Arabidopsis thaliana: one gene and its partners. The protein of the gene in region 1 interacts with the protein of each later gene in a pairwise test. Each region holds a gene or a part of one and is shown on either strand. Other genes may lie near its edges. The genes, in order: RLF, ADT5 and ADT4.

What was found.
Region 2: the proteins of RLF (region 1) and ADT5 interact in a two-hybrid assay, tested with the Arabidopsis thaliana proteins (one large-scale study listed by BioGRID).
Region 3: the proteins of RLF (region 1) and ADT4 interact in a two-hybrid assay, tested with the Arabidopsis thaliana proteins (one large-scale study listed by BioGRID).

What each region holds. Positions count from the first base shown.
Region 1 is NC_003076.8:2,998,623-3,002,642, forward strand, and holds RLF (reduced lateral root formation), read right to left. Parts: upstream 2,037-4,020; 5' UTR 1,982-2,036; coding exon 1,856-1,981; exon of another isoform or gene 1,576-1,855; coding exon 1,525-1,575; intron 1,424-1,524; coding exon 1,108-1,423; intron 1,021-1,107; coding exon 740-1,020; 3' UTR 573-739; downstream 1-572. Other genes in the region: MGT7 (magnesium transporter 7), read right to left, coding at 2,368-2,454, 2,543-2,662, 2,752-2,781, 2,867-2,911, 2,986-3,030, 3,094-3,324, 3,482-3,556, 3,646-3,767 and 1 more.
Region 2 is NC_003076.8:7,522,298-7,526,899, reverse strand, and holds ADT5 (arogenate dehydratase 5), read right to left. Parts: upstream 2,815-4,602; 5' UTR 2,256-2,814; coding exon 978-2,255; 3' UTR 630-977; downstream 1-629. UniProt on the Arabidopsis thaliana protein: Converts the prephenate produced from the shikimate-chorismate pathway into phenylalanine.
Region 3 is NC_003074.8:16,269,751-16,274,004, reverse strand, and holds ADT4 (arogenate dehydratase 4), read right to left. Parts: upstream 2,495-4,254; 5' UTR 2,247-2,494; coding exon 972-2,246; 3' UTR 592-971; downstream 1-591. UniProt on the Arabidopsis thaliana protein: Converts the prephenate produced from the shikimate-chorismate pathway into phenylalanine.

The DNA of each region.
Region 1 (4,020 bases):
ATACTCTCAGCATAATCTACATAACAATGATTTCATAGACCAAACAAAGTCTAAAGATAGAAACAGTCATGCATTATTATTAGTAAGTCATGAACTCAGATTAAGCAAAATTAATGATAAAAATCCAGAAGAAAATTTAGATGTATAAGGTGAGTAAGAGAATGAAGGATGAAGAAGAGAATTCAAATACCTGGTGGATCTGAAACTCGGGCTCACAGATAGAATTCCAAGGAGAAGACAAGAAGAAGATTTCAGAAACAGGTGTCGAAGATAGAAGACAAAAAGATTATTGGCAAATTGGCAAATATGATAGTGGAATTATTATAAGCGTCGAGGAGTCAGGTTTTGTCTACAATGTGAAATACCTAAACTACCCTCGGTCTTTTAGCCCTCACTTCTGATTGGGGATTTGATAGTTTGCTAAAACAAAACTTGTAATGGAATTTGTTTTTAAGACATCAACTTTGTTCTGGTTTACCCTATAATCCATTCCGAAATTTGTGTAGATTCTATTTACTCATCTATAATTTGCCATTCTGAAATATTGTAAAAGAAAAGAGAACATGATGCCACTGATATGGAAACTTTGAATATATTGACACCAAAAATTATAAATTTCTAATACAGTACATATTGTAATCAGAGTTTACATTTGAAGAATCAGAATGTAAACATTAAAAAATTCTTATTGACTTATGTATGAATTCTCTACAAGAGTGAACTCTTTTAGCAATAGCAATTAGGGTTCTTGCTTCTTCACTTTGGTATCATCCAAAACTCCAACAAGGCATTTCTCAAGTAAGATATCAACATTGACCCAGGCATGGTATTTGTTGAATAAGAGCGTACCGTCTCTTCCAACCGCTTTCATCAGCATATCGACACCTCCAGGATGAAAATTCATATAAGGCGATATGTTGTATACACGACCTTTCAAAACAGTCCACATCGAATCTCCTGTTCGGTGTTTCTTTACTTCATCCATTGGAATAAGCCTCTTGTTTGACTCTCCCTTCAGGCCTGCATAAACAAATTGTCTCTTTCATTAACCAACACATCAAAATGTATTTAGGAAAAAGAGGACTAAGAAAAGAAAGCTTTGCTTACCTGCAAGATCGGGATGTGTTCGTGTAAGTTTCAACCAATCCATTTGGCTATAACCCTTTTCAAATGGAACCTTGGTACGAGTGATAGGCTTTCTAGCTGGAGTTTTGAAAGTCTCAGAGGATTCATTGGATTGCTTTTTCGAAGACGAAGAATCAGTCACCGTGAAAGACAAAGAACCTATTGTTTCTTCCTTTGGAGGAAGAGACTTGTCTTTCCAAATAAGACCATTGCTTTTTTGTTGATCTAACCCATCTTTAAGGGTAATACTACCTACATCTGATGCAAGATCTTTAACTTCACTATCTGGTGGTGAAACCTTCAAAATTGAAAACAAACCAAGAATCAATCATAAAAGTCTAGAACTTTCACGTTTCATAAACATTGAAATCATGAAGAAATGAGTGGAAACTAACCAACCTTTGAGAATGTGAAATCATCATCTCTACTAGTATCCATCTTGAGCTTAATCTGCACGCAGTTTGCATAACAATTCGTATCAGTTAGAAACAAAACCTAAAGTCTATGTAAAGCACTCACGGGAAGAAGAAGACGAAGATCTAAACAAACGAAAGTTGGAGGCAAAAGCAAAGTCTAAAGGTGACGATAATAGGGATTATTGGGTGGGAATTTCTTAAATTCGGAAACTTTAATCTAACAAAAACAGATTTGCAATTCTGATTCATGAATCCATATCAAGCAAACAATAACAAGGGAAATCAGATGTACTAGAAGAAAATTGGATAGATACCTGGTGGATCTGAGACTGCTCCAGACAGAGAATCAAAGGAGAAACAAAGACCAGTGGAGAAAACAAAGAGCGACGAAAGAGGGAGAGATCTAATTGGCCGTCAAGGATTCTTATGAGAATAATCATGTTCTTCTCTGGAGGCTGCAATCAAAATACCAAATTCGAATCGGTCTAATTCGGTTTTGTTTTGGGGTTGTTGGATATCCGATACAATTTTGGTTCGGTTCAGGTCAGAGATATTCAATCCGAACTTGTAATTTGGTCCCGGTTTTGTGTAAAGGTCTTCGTATTTTTTGGTTTTGTTCGGTTATCTATCTCGGCTCCTTAATTTGGGTTGGTATCAAGAAGTTACAATTTACTGTTAACCAGAAAAAAAAATGTAGTCACACAGTACAAATTATGCAATCCCATCACTTAGTAACGAAAATGCTGGCGAGAAGAGACCCCAAAAAACAAGATCTGCTCTCACATTCTCTGCTATAAAATATGTACCAAATTGTCCTCTCTTGTCATTAAGATCCGATGAGTCCTCTAAACCGAGCGTACGACAGTATAATCACGAACAAGACTATGCAAAATGTTCCCGTGAGACTTACGACCTTCATCAACAACAACAAAAAACACATACCAATGATATCATCAGGTTAAGGTGTTCCATTCTGGTGGAAACTGAAATGTGACTCGTACCCATTTGAAAATGTAACCATGGTCGTGGTTCCATGTGTTGGGAATGTTCATGCCGAATATTCCGGCGATCATAGAGTACACTGATACACAGACGGTTCCTGCGCTTAACATTAGCTCTAACTGCAGAGAATTTTATTGCTTTTCATACACATCAAAAAAAATTTAAAAAAACTTTAATAATCCTGAGCTTTTCTTTTATATTCACTCACCTGAATCAGCTGATTTCGATGATTGTCTAACTGCAAATAAACAGTGATTATAGCCTGTAAGAGAAATTACATTTTCACAACATTTAAGAAATTCTGACTTTTCATTTTTGGTTACCTGGATGTTAATGTAATCCTCTGTGTCATCAATATACTCGCGTAGCTGCATCATGTTCAATTATACTTTCTAAGTCGGAGATACCACAAAGACGAAACAGGAACAAGAAGATACAATACCTCGGTTAATTTGTTCAAAGTGCTGTCTATTTGCATGAAGTATGCCTATTAACAAAAATCACATTAATGGTTGTTTATACTTCATATGTAGCTGGAAACAAGTATTACCTCAAGCAACATTTCAAGCTCTTCAACATCAGTTTCGTCGTCTCCACGAACCGTGACTAAACTCACTCTACTTGCTCTGGAAATCATAGAACCTATTGTTGGGGAAGTAGGATACCAAATGGGTTCATCTGAAACGCTGACAGATGAAGATGCACCAACAAGCTTCCTTGTAAGGTAGAGATCAGCCATATCACCATCATCATCCAACAACTGTTCAAGCTCATCCCTTACCTGAAAAAAAAGCGACGAGAGAGATTAATTCTTCTCTGTTCCACTATCGTATATCTTGAATGTTCACTTGACATATGTGAGGAAGCTTCATACTCATAGTATATGTGGCAACACAAGTTCTAAACATAGACTCTGTTTACCAGTGAAACATACTCACCTTTTGGACCCGAGCTGTCAAACGGGTCATGGCACTCTTCAATTTACGAACTCTTTCCAAGTTACGGCTACTTATCTACAAAATGAAACGGTTCTCATCGACTGAATGGAGTTAAATGAAGTTGGAATTAGATCAGTGATGACAATAATTGCTGAGTTAGCTACCTTCAAGGTAAGTTCATCCAAAGCAGGATAAGCAAACTTCTCTAGTTCTGTTGTCCTTGCAGCTAGAAAACTACAAATAGCTTCCAAGGCCACCTCTAGCGCCCGGAATTCAAACGGGGATTCTATATAGTAACAAACAAACACTTCAATACCAAAAGTGAAAAGAGTGAATGGTTCATTAGTTCTTATGTAGGCATCAAAAGATCAAAGATTTTTCCAATTTATATCCTTAAAATAACAAAAGTTGAGGCCTTGAGGGGTACCATCTTCTTCACCCAAATCACCATCTCCGTGAACACCATGTGCCTCGTTTCCTACAGGTAATCTTCTCTGAAACTCCTCCAGGACGGGGATAACATTTTCATCTGACGAATC
Region 2 (4,602 bases), 4.5 Mb from region 1:
CTCCACGGCATGAAGATAAAGAAACTGTACATGAAATATTGTAACATTGTCTACAACTTTAAAAGTACAGCTTAAGAAACATGTACAAAGAAACTCATATGCCAATTTTTTGTTTTGCTAAAAATTTAAATATCTCATAAAAATGAAAATGTTCAGGCTTACAATCGAAGATTATAATTCTAGAAGATGGATGTTAAGAGCATATGGTAGCTTCCACCACACCTAACTCTTTTGGCATGCAAAAATGTTTAGACCCTAAAAGATAGGTGGGAAATTACACATATCTAGTATAAATAGTCAAGTCATGTTAAATTATCTATCAAATGCAAAGTTTCGTGGAAATTATATGCCCAATTCTTTAGCAACTCGAACTGAATTTCCTGAAGATAGTTGAGAACTTTAATAAACTAATCAGTGAAAATTCATGGAAGTTGGCATAGTACGTATATACACGACCAGATGGATGATTATACTTTTGTTTCAAAGCAAGAAACATCAAACCGAACTCGTGTTCACACATTAATTTCGACTTTTGTAATATAACTTGTAATTTAATAACTTTATAGTTTAGAATCTGAAAGTCTTTCTTGTTCTGTTGGTTAACGTACGTGGGGAGTCTTAGAGCATAGCTTCAAAGATTATTGTTAATGATTCTGCTATAACAAATTCCGTTACAAATTAAGGTATATATTAGGTTCTCTAATTTTTACTACGAAAAAAATATGAGAATTAAAATGTGCTTAGCTTAAGAAATATCTTCAATTGTAATCATCAGAACCAAACTACAAACCGGTCTTGTTCCAATAGTAGCAAATACATACACACAAAATATTTGGTTTAAGAGAAATAAAATAATATTATCCTCCCACTTCACATGCAAAACGAGTTCTACAAATTCTACTTTAGTTTCCATGTATTTTACTTATGATAATTTTACCATAATGTTATTTAAAATTCAGATAAATTTTTTAATTGTGTCATACGTCTTCGCTAGGTAACGTGGACCATGGCGTCATATCCATTGGGTAACTTCCCAGCACCCTGAGGAATGACGTGTACTCTTGCACCTCCGCTAACGCGTTTTGTGCACGCGCCTCCGCCATCGACGCTTCGAAGTCGACGTAGAATGTGTACTCAAAGTGCTTCGATGTTCCAACGTTTTCGTCGCCTACGACTCTAACGGGACAATTCTGATGCGGCCGCGATTCGATTTTCGTCAAACTAATGTTTCGAAACGCAAACGCGGAAAGCACTTTGAATAAAACGCTAGTTCCTTTATGTTCTTGAGCTGCGAAAACGATACTCGTTTTAAACGGACGATCGGTACGGGGAATGATCGGATCACGCGCCAACATAAGGAAGCGCGTGACGTTTCCTGCGTCGTCTTGGATCCCGTCGGCGAGAATCTGAAGTCCGTAGAGCTCAGCTGCTCTTGCGCTCGCTACCGCCGCCGTGTCGTGGAGGTTGTTAGCAGCGATGTATTCCGCCGCCGCGGCTGTGTCGTGAAACGCTTCAATCGCTGCTTTTGGAGTGAGTTTGTTGAGCGATCCTTCCGTCTGAGCCAGAGCTTGAGGATGCGAAATCACTCGCGTGATGCAATCCGTACGAACTCCGGGAAGAGCTAAGAGACAGTGGTGAACCGGGATCTGAACTTCTCCGACGATGTGGAGACGGTGACGGAGGAGAAGATCGTAATTTCTATGAATCGAACCACCGAGAGAGTTCTCAACTGGGAGAACAGCACGATCGGCGATCCAAAGCTCCACCGCCTGAAACGCAACGTCGAATTGATCACAAGGAATAGCTTCGGAGTTTGGGTAAGCTTTTCCGGCGGCCGCTTCGGAGTACGCTCCCGGAACTCCTTGATACGCGACACGAAGAGTAGATCCATGAGACGGCGCGGGAGATAGATCTGTTATCGTTAACGGCTGAATCAATCCAGGCTTTCCGTTGTGCTGCGACTTTGACGGAACAAGGCTTAAATCAACGGAGCCGTTACTGTGTCCGTTAACGACGGCGACGGAGCTTGAATTCTCAGCCGAAACTACTTTACTGGCTAAGATGGCGCATGAGCTTTGCCAATCGGCTCGGCTTGAGCCAACACCGTTAGGGAAGCTAAACGACTCAGACCTGTAACTGCAACGAACAGACACGCGCTTTCCATTTACGTGAGAGTAACGCGCTTTCTTAGCCGTTAGATTCGGTTGAATTACGGATTTGAGATCGCACGAGAACGCAGGCGAAATGGTTTGCATGATTTGAGTCGAAAAATGAAAAAATTGCTGTTTATTTATTTTTTCTGGTAAGAGGAAACAAAAGAGTAAGATATAAACGACGAGTAGAGTACAGTTCAAGCTTGGAGTTCTATGGTTCAGAGAGAACTTGCAAGCTGAGAGATGATGGTGGAGAAGGAAGTGTTTATATAGTGGAATGTTGTAAAAGAAAGAAAGTCTTGACGTGTCTTGAAGGGTAGTTCCGTCAAATCCTTCACCTACCACATTTCATTTGATTTTCCTGAACGATATTTGTTGTTTATATTATAAAGTTGTTTTTATTTGAATATGTTCACTTTGCTTTGTTAGGAAAAAAATGGTGAATTTCTCGGTACGTGTTAATCAGTGGAGGCCTTTTAAAGATTTATTGCTGCTAATTGTGAGTAAAGATCTTTTTTCATAATAAGATAATGTCATTAGCAGATTTATGGATAAATGGACCATACGTGGCAGCTTTGCATATGTGGTCTCATAATCGAATGCTAACGTTCTTTCGAGATTTTGCTATGTTTTCAAGTTTCTATTTTGATTTTCTAAATTTTATCCTTAAAACTAGATTACTAAACAAGGTAACTAAAAGAACCATATTAAAAAAAGAGACCATGTGTATGAATATGTGGATTAGTAATTTAGTATCAAGTAACTATGTGGTGGTTATTTATTGGTTAAGGTTTTTCTTTTGAATGAAGACAAAGATCGATTTTTATCATATAGTCAAATTGTTGATCCCCATTATTATTGTTTCTCTATCTACACATTGTAAATAATTACCGAATAAAATTCATGCATGGGATATGAGTCTAGTACTGGATAATGATTGTAAAAAATTCCTAGAATGAAAATAGTAAGAAGAAACATTTAGCATAAGTTGTCATTTTGATATAATAACCCAAAAAAACTATAATAACCTTTTCAAATGATAAAATAATATAATTTTAAAAGTTAGAAGACGAACTATATGTGCAAAGGTATCCATGGAACATGGTCCAATCCATATCGCTCCCTAAATTTGGATATTTACATTCGTATATTATTTTTTTTCATTTTAAAATTTAGATGTATTCTCTTGTATAAAATACTTAATATAAATTGATAAATATATCACATATTATTTATGGTAGTCAAACTAGTTAATTATTTATTTTAAACCCAACAATAATTAAACCATATATATATATACCATATTATTTTCACTCCGAACAATAATCTAAACCATAAGCCTATACAATGAGACCTGGTTCACCTGATTTGATCTTTCAAACCAACCTTTCTTTAGTTTTAAGTTTATGTGGATGCAGACTTTCAATTTTCAATTTTGGGTGTTTTAAAAATAAATCTTTATATACATAATTAAGATTATGAGAGTGATCGATCTATATCCTTAATATCTTTAAAATATATGCTCTTATATACCTTTTTTGTTTATCTTCATACATTAATCAATAATTAATTAGTCGCCTAACAATAAATAAATAATTGTATGGCTCAAAAAAATTTAAAACATAAAGTGGGTTTTTCCTTAAGAAGCTAGATTATACTAGCCTCAGAAATCAGAATAAACCTGATTTGCACCATTGAAGGAAACCTAGTACAGCAACCCACTCGAACAAACCTGATCGATCTGCACCATTGAAGGAAACCTAGTACAGTGGCCCAACTCGAACAACCACATACACACAAAGAACTAGAGAGACATATATGTAGGTAATACATCTAATTTAGTGTTTTATCATATGACAACACATAAGACATACAAAAATCTAGTGAGACATATTTGTGGATGTAGATTATCCTAAGATATATATAATCTATATCTCTAACTCTAATAGAATGTATATTGATTGCATACCCTACTTTTTAACCCATTGATTAAGCCATTTATCAATGAGAAAAAGAGATTCTCATGTGATGCAGTGATGCTAACAAAAAGTTTACATACTAATTTATACTAAAAAATTATGACGCTAATATAAGTTTATGTACTAAATTATACCGAAATATTATGTATAATAAATTATTAGAATGCAGGAAATAAAAGAATCACTGACAACTTAACAAGTAACAACAGCTCCAATATGCCACGATTATGTAATTCGTGTGTCATATATATGTTTCTTCTCGTTAAAGTTAAAGATATATAGGTGTGACCTCAGGTCTCAAAAGTGAAGCCCAGCTTCTAATATAAATATTTCTAGTTTATTTTCTTCGTTTTGAAAAAAGAAAACACATATTCATAATATATTGAAAATAATATCGTTTTATAACATAAGTAAACAATCAACAAGCAATTGTTGGCCGTAAAAGATTTATCGATGGGGTTGTTGAAACC
Region 3 (4,254 bases), on another chromosome or scaffold:
TTTTAAGACAGTAGATTATTAATAATCGGCGCTGTTTATAGCTTCCGATTTACATGTGAATTATTACTAGATTCAACATGTAAGTTTCTTGGAAATTATATTGCTAATTTCTTGCGACTCACCTAGAAACCAAACGTTGAACCCTTGAGTTGAGTTCACACGTGACCGGTGACCATAACTTTTTTTTTTTGTATCTACTCGTGAAAACTTCAAGGAAATCTTCACAAAATATTTTAATGATGTTGGAAATTATATCACCAACTACAATAATGGAGACTTGTTTTGTGAATATTATATAAACTTCGAACAAAATCTTTGTATTGTATATTAAATATGATAAGTTGATTTTTATTCACATTCATTTTCATTGGTTTACTTTTTTTTATCATGTAAGCGATTGTTTAATGGTATACATATGTTGTGGTTGAGCTTAGTGAACTTGAGATGAAGTCCTAACAGAAAGTTTTAGTAACAACATTATGCTGATAATTACATAAAAGAATTTGGTCTTAAGCTTTTGATATTGAAGAAAATATTAGGATCATCTCTACTAAAAATATGATTTAATAGAAATTTGTAGTAAAAATACTAATAACGTTGTTAAGATAAACAAAGTTACAAAACTGATCACATTTTTCTAAAAAATATGTGTAAATATATGTCTTTGTTTTTGGTAATGCCAATCATTTTTGCTTTTCTTGGTTAAAATCGAGTGAATTTACCAAAGAAAACCAAGGAACTCAAAAAGATTCTGCGAATAAACCACAATGTTCATAACTATTAAGTAAGAATGTAAGATATATCTGGTAGCTAGTAACAGACAAATAAAATTTTGTTTTCTCCTAATCACCACGTGAATAATGAGCTCTACATTTACGGTTTAATTTCAATGTATACTACAATTTTCACAAAAAAAGAAAGAACAGAATAATTTAATAAATTTATTGGTGAGTTTGTTTTTGGCGATGGGGTCATGCTTCTTCTGTGGATGTCATGGACCATGGTGTCATATCCATGGGGTAACTTCCCAGCACCCTTAGGAACGACGTGTACTCTTGAACCTCCGCAAGCGCGTTCTGTGCACGCGGCTCAGCCATCGATGCCTCAAAATCCACGTAAAACATGTACTCGAAGTTCTTCGACGTCCCAAAGCTCCCGTCACCAACAACCCTAAGCGGGCGGTTATGGTGAGGCCGGGACTCGATCTTGGTCAGGCTAATGTCTCTGAAAGCGAAAGCCGAGAGGACTTTAAAGAGGACGCTAGTTCCTTTGTGCTCTTGGGCAGCAAAGACGATGCTAGTCTTGAATGGCCGGTCCGTGCGTGGGATTATAGGCTCACGCGCCAACATTAGGAAACGAGTGACGTTCCCCGGGTCGTCTTGAATCCCATCCGCTAATATCTGGAGGTTGTAAAGCTCAGCGGCGCGTGCGCTCGCCACAGCCGCCGTGTCATGTAGGTCGTTAGCTGAGATATACTCCGCAGCAGCCGCTGTGTCATGGAAAGCCTCACGCGCTGCATGTGGTGTAAGGACGTCGAGGGAGTGTTCCGTCTGCGCTAGGGCTTGCGGGTGAGAGATCACCCGCGAAACACAGTCAGTTCGGACTCCCGGGAGTGCGAGGAGGCAATGGTGGACCGGAATCTGAACTTCTCCAACGATGTGAAGACGGTGACGGAGAAGAAGATCATAGTTTCGATGGATCGAACCACCGAGTGAGTTCTCCACCGGAAGCACAGCTCGATCAGCGATCCAAAGCTCCACCGCCTGAAAAGCAACGTCAAACTGGTCACAAGGAATGGCGTCGCAATTGGGATAAGCTTTTCCGGCAGCTGCTTCCGAGTAAGCTCCGGGAACGCCTTGGTAAGCTACACGTAGACTAGAACCATGCAACGGTGCCGGAGATAGATCAGTAATAGTCAACGGCTGAGCAGGAGCTAACTTTCCGTTAGTTGACTCAACGGCGACGAGACCAAGATTCACAGAGCCGTTCGTGTGACCATTAACGGCGGCGATTTTGTCCGCTAAACCACCGGTATTTTCAACAGAAGCAACTTTACTAGATAAAATGGCACATGAGCTTTGCCAATCAGATCGACTCACGGAGACACCGTTAGGGAAGCTAAACGACTCCGACCTATAACCGCACGTAACAGCCACGCGCTTTGGAATCGCGTGGGAGAAACATTTGTTCCTAGACGTCGGATCTGTTGATCGGAACTTGAGATCACACGACGTTGCGGCTTGCATGGTTTGGTAATGATGGTAAGACAAACAAAATTTGAGAATAAAAGCTGTATTATAGATTTATAGTGTTGGAAAGCTTGAGTTCTTTCGTTGAGAGAGAAGCTCAAGCTGAGAGATAAAGGAGAAGAGAGATGGTCTTATATACACACTAACACACAAGAATAAATTTTGTTTTGTTTTTGACAAAATTAGTCTTGACGTATGTAATTCGGTAAAATCCTTCACCTACCACCTTCCATGTAATTTCTATACTTTTTTTTCTTTCTGAAAACTATAATAATAGTTGTCTTTATTGAAATATATGATATTGTTGGTTTACGTGAAAGCGATATTCTTCATTTCTTCTTAGTTCTTACCATGGTTTTGTATTGTTGGTGTTACGTCCATAGATTTTTCTACAAATATCAAGATCATTGGTGTTTCTTTTGAGCAGTGGATGGTAAAATTTCTCTTAAAAAGTATTGAATATTCTATTATTATATATACATATGTATATATATATATATAGTTTTTTAATTGTTTGTTTTTCAATTAAAACTTAGTTACCTACTTCAAGAAAAATTAGATAGTTTATCCGCACTATGTGTGGGATAAATATATTATAGTAAATTTTTTATTATTTGAAATCTGAAATTTGCCTGTGTATTATTTAATGTAATATTTTTTTTTTGAACCATCTAGTTTTTGCATTAAAATTATTATTGCCCGTATATTGATTGTTATTAAATATGTATAAATATATTAGTTATTATTTTTATAATTTTCTTATTAAATTAAATTAAAATTATATTTTTAGAATCTTCTGAATATTTATAATTTACTTAAGTGTAATTGATATTATTTTTGGAAAAAACTTTATTTATAAATGTATTGGTAATATCTGATTAGAAAAATGAAAGTAGTACTATATTAATATTTTTGTTAACATATGATTTATGTTTCTATATAAAAACGAAAGTAGTTCTATATTAAGTTCTGAAATATTACTTGCTTAATTATTAGATTATTTTAATTGGAATTTCTTTTTTTAATTATTTACTACTTTTAATTGGATTTACTTTTTATTGTTTCTGTTATTGAGATATTTATATGTACTACTAATGATAAATTTTATAAATGATCTAGTAAATGAGGGACAATGAAGTAAATTGATTGAGAATTGCTCTGACACATCAGCTGGCATTTCTGTAAATACGACTGTAACTAAATTTTGTTTTTTAAGTGTGATTCTCTATTAATAATTTAATATATAGAGGATAAATGAATTCAGAAATTAATAAAAATTTTGATTACGAAAATATATAGTAGGCCCAAAGTTCACTTTCTCATATGTGGAATTTTATATGTCCACGAATAACACGGTTCAGCTCACCTTCTTTTACTTTGACACAATCGCCAAGCTGTGAGAGCATGCGCAGACCATAATGGACACATATATAGTAAATGGTTTTGTATTTATTATGATTTATGAAGTTGTTGGTCATTTTCATTTTTGACGATGTCTATTATTTGTTCGCTTTGGTGAAAATATTTGGTAATTAATTAACAAAGTGAATACTGTTTTACGAAACTCGGAAGGTGATCTATGATCTGTCATTTCGGGAGCATATATTTATATACATGATTTGTATTTGACTGATAACATATTTCAGGATCTTGGATATTGAATCCGTTTCTACTACAAAAAACCGCAAAATTGTGTGTTTTATGCCAAAATCCCTAAATTTGTGATTTTTTTACTTAAACTGTTTTCCAGTAAAAGTCGCAAACTATGTCATCCCGTAAAAAGTAACAAAATCTTGTTTCCGTAAAAAAAAAGTGTAACATTGAATTTTCCGACAGAATCATTATCTTATATTCTTTTCTGAATAATTGCTGAAAATGACCTTTTCACATTATCCTTTTTTAATTATACTCTTTCCTATTTGTCATTTTCATTTCTACCCTCTTTAAATTTTTTAATGACCATTTTACCCCTATTTGGAAATTGTTTTAGGTAAACAAAATGAAA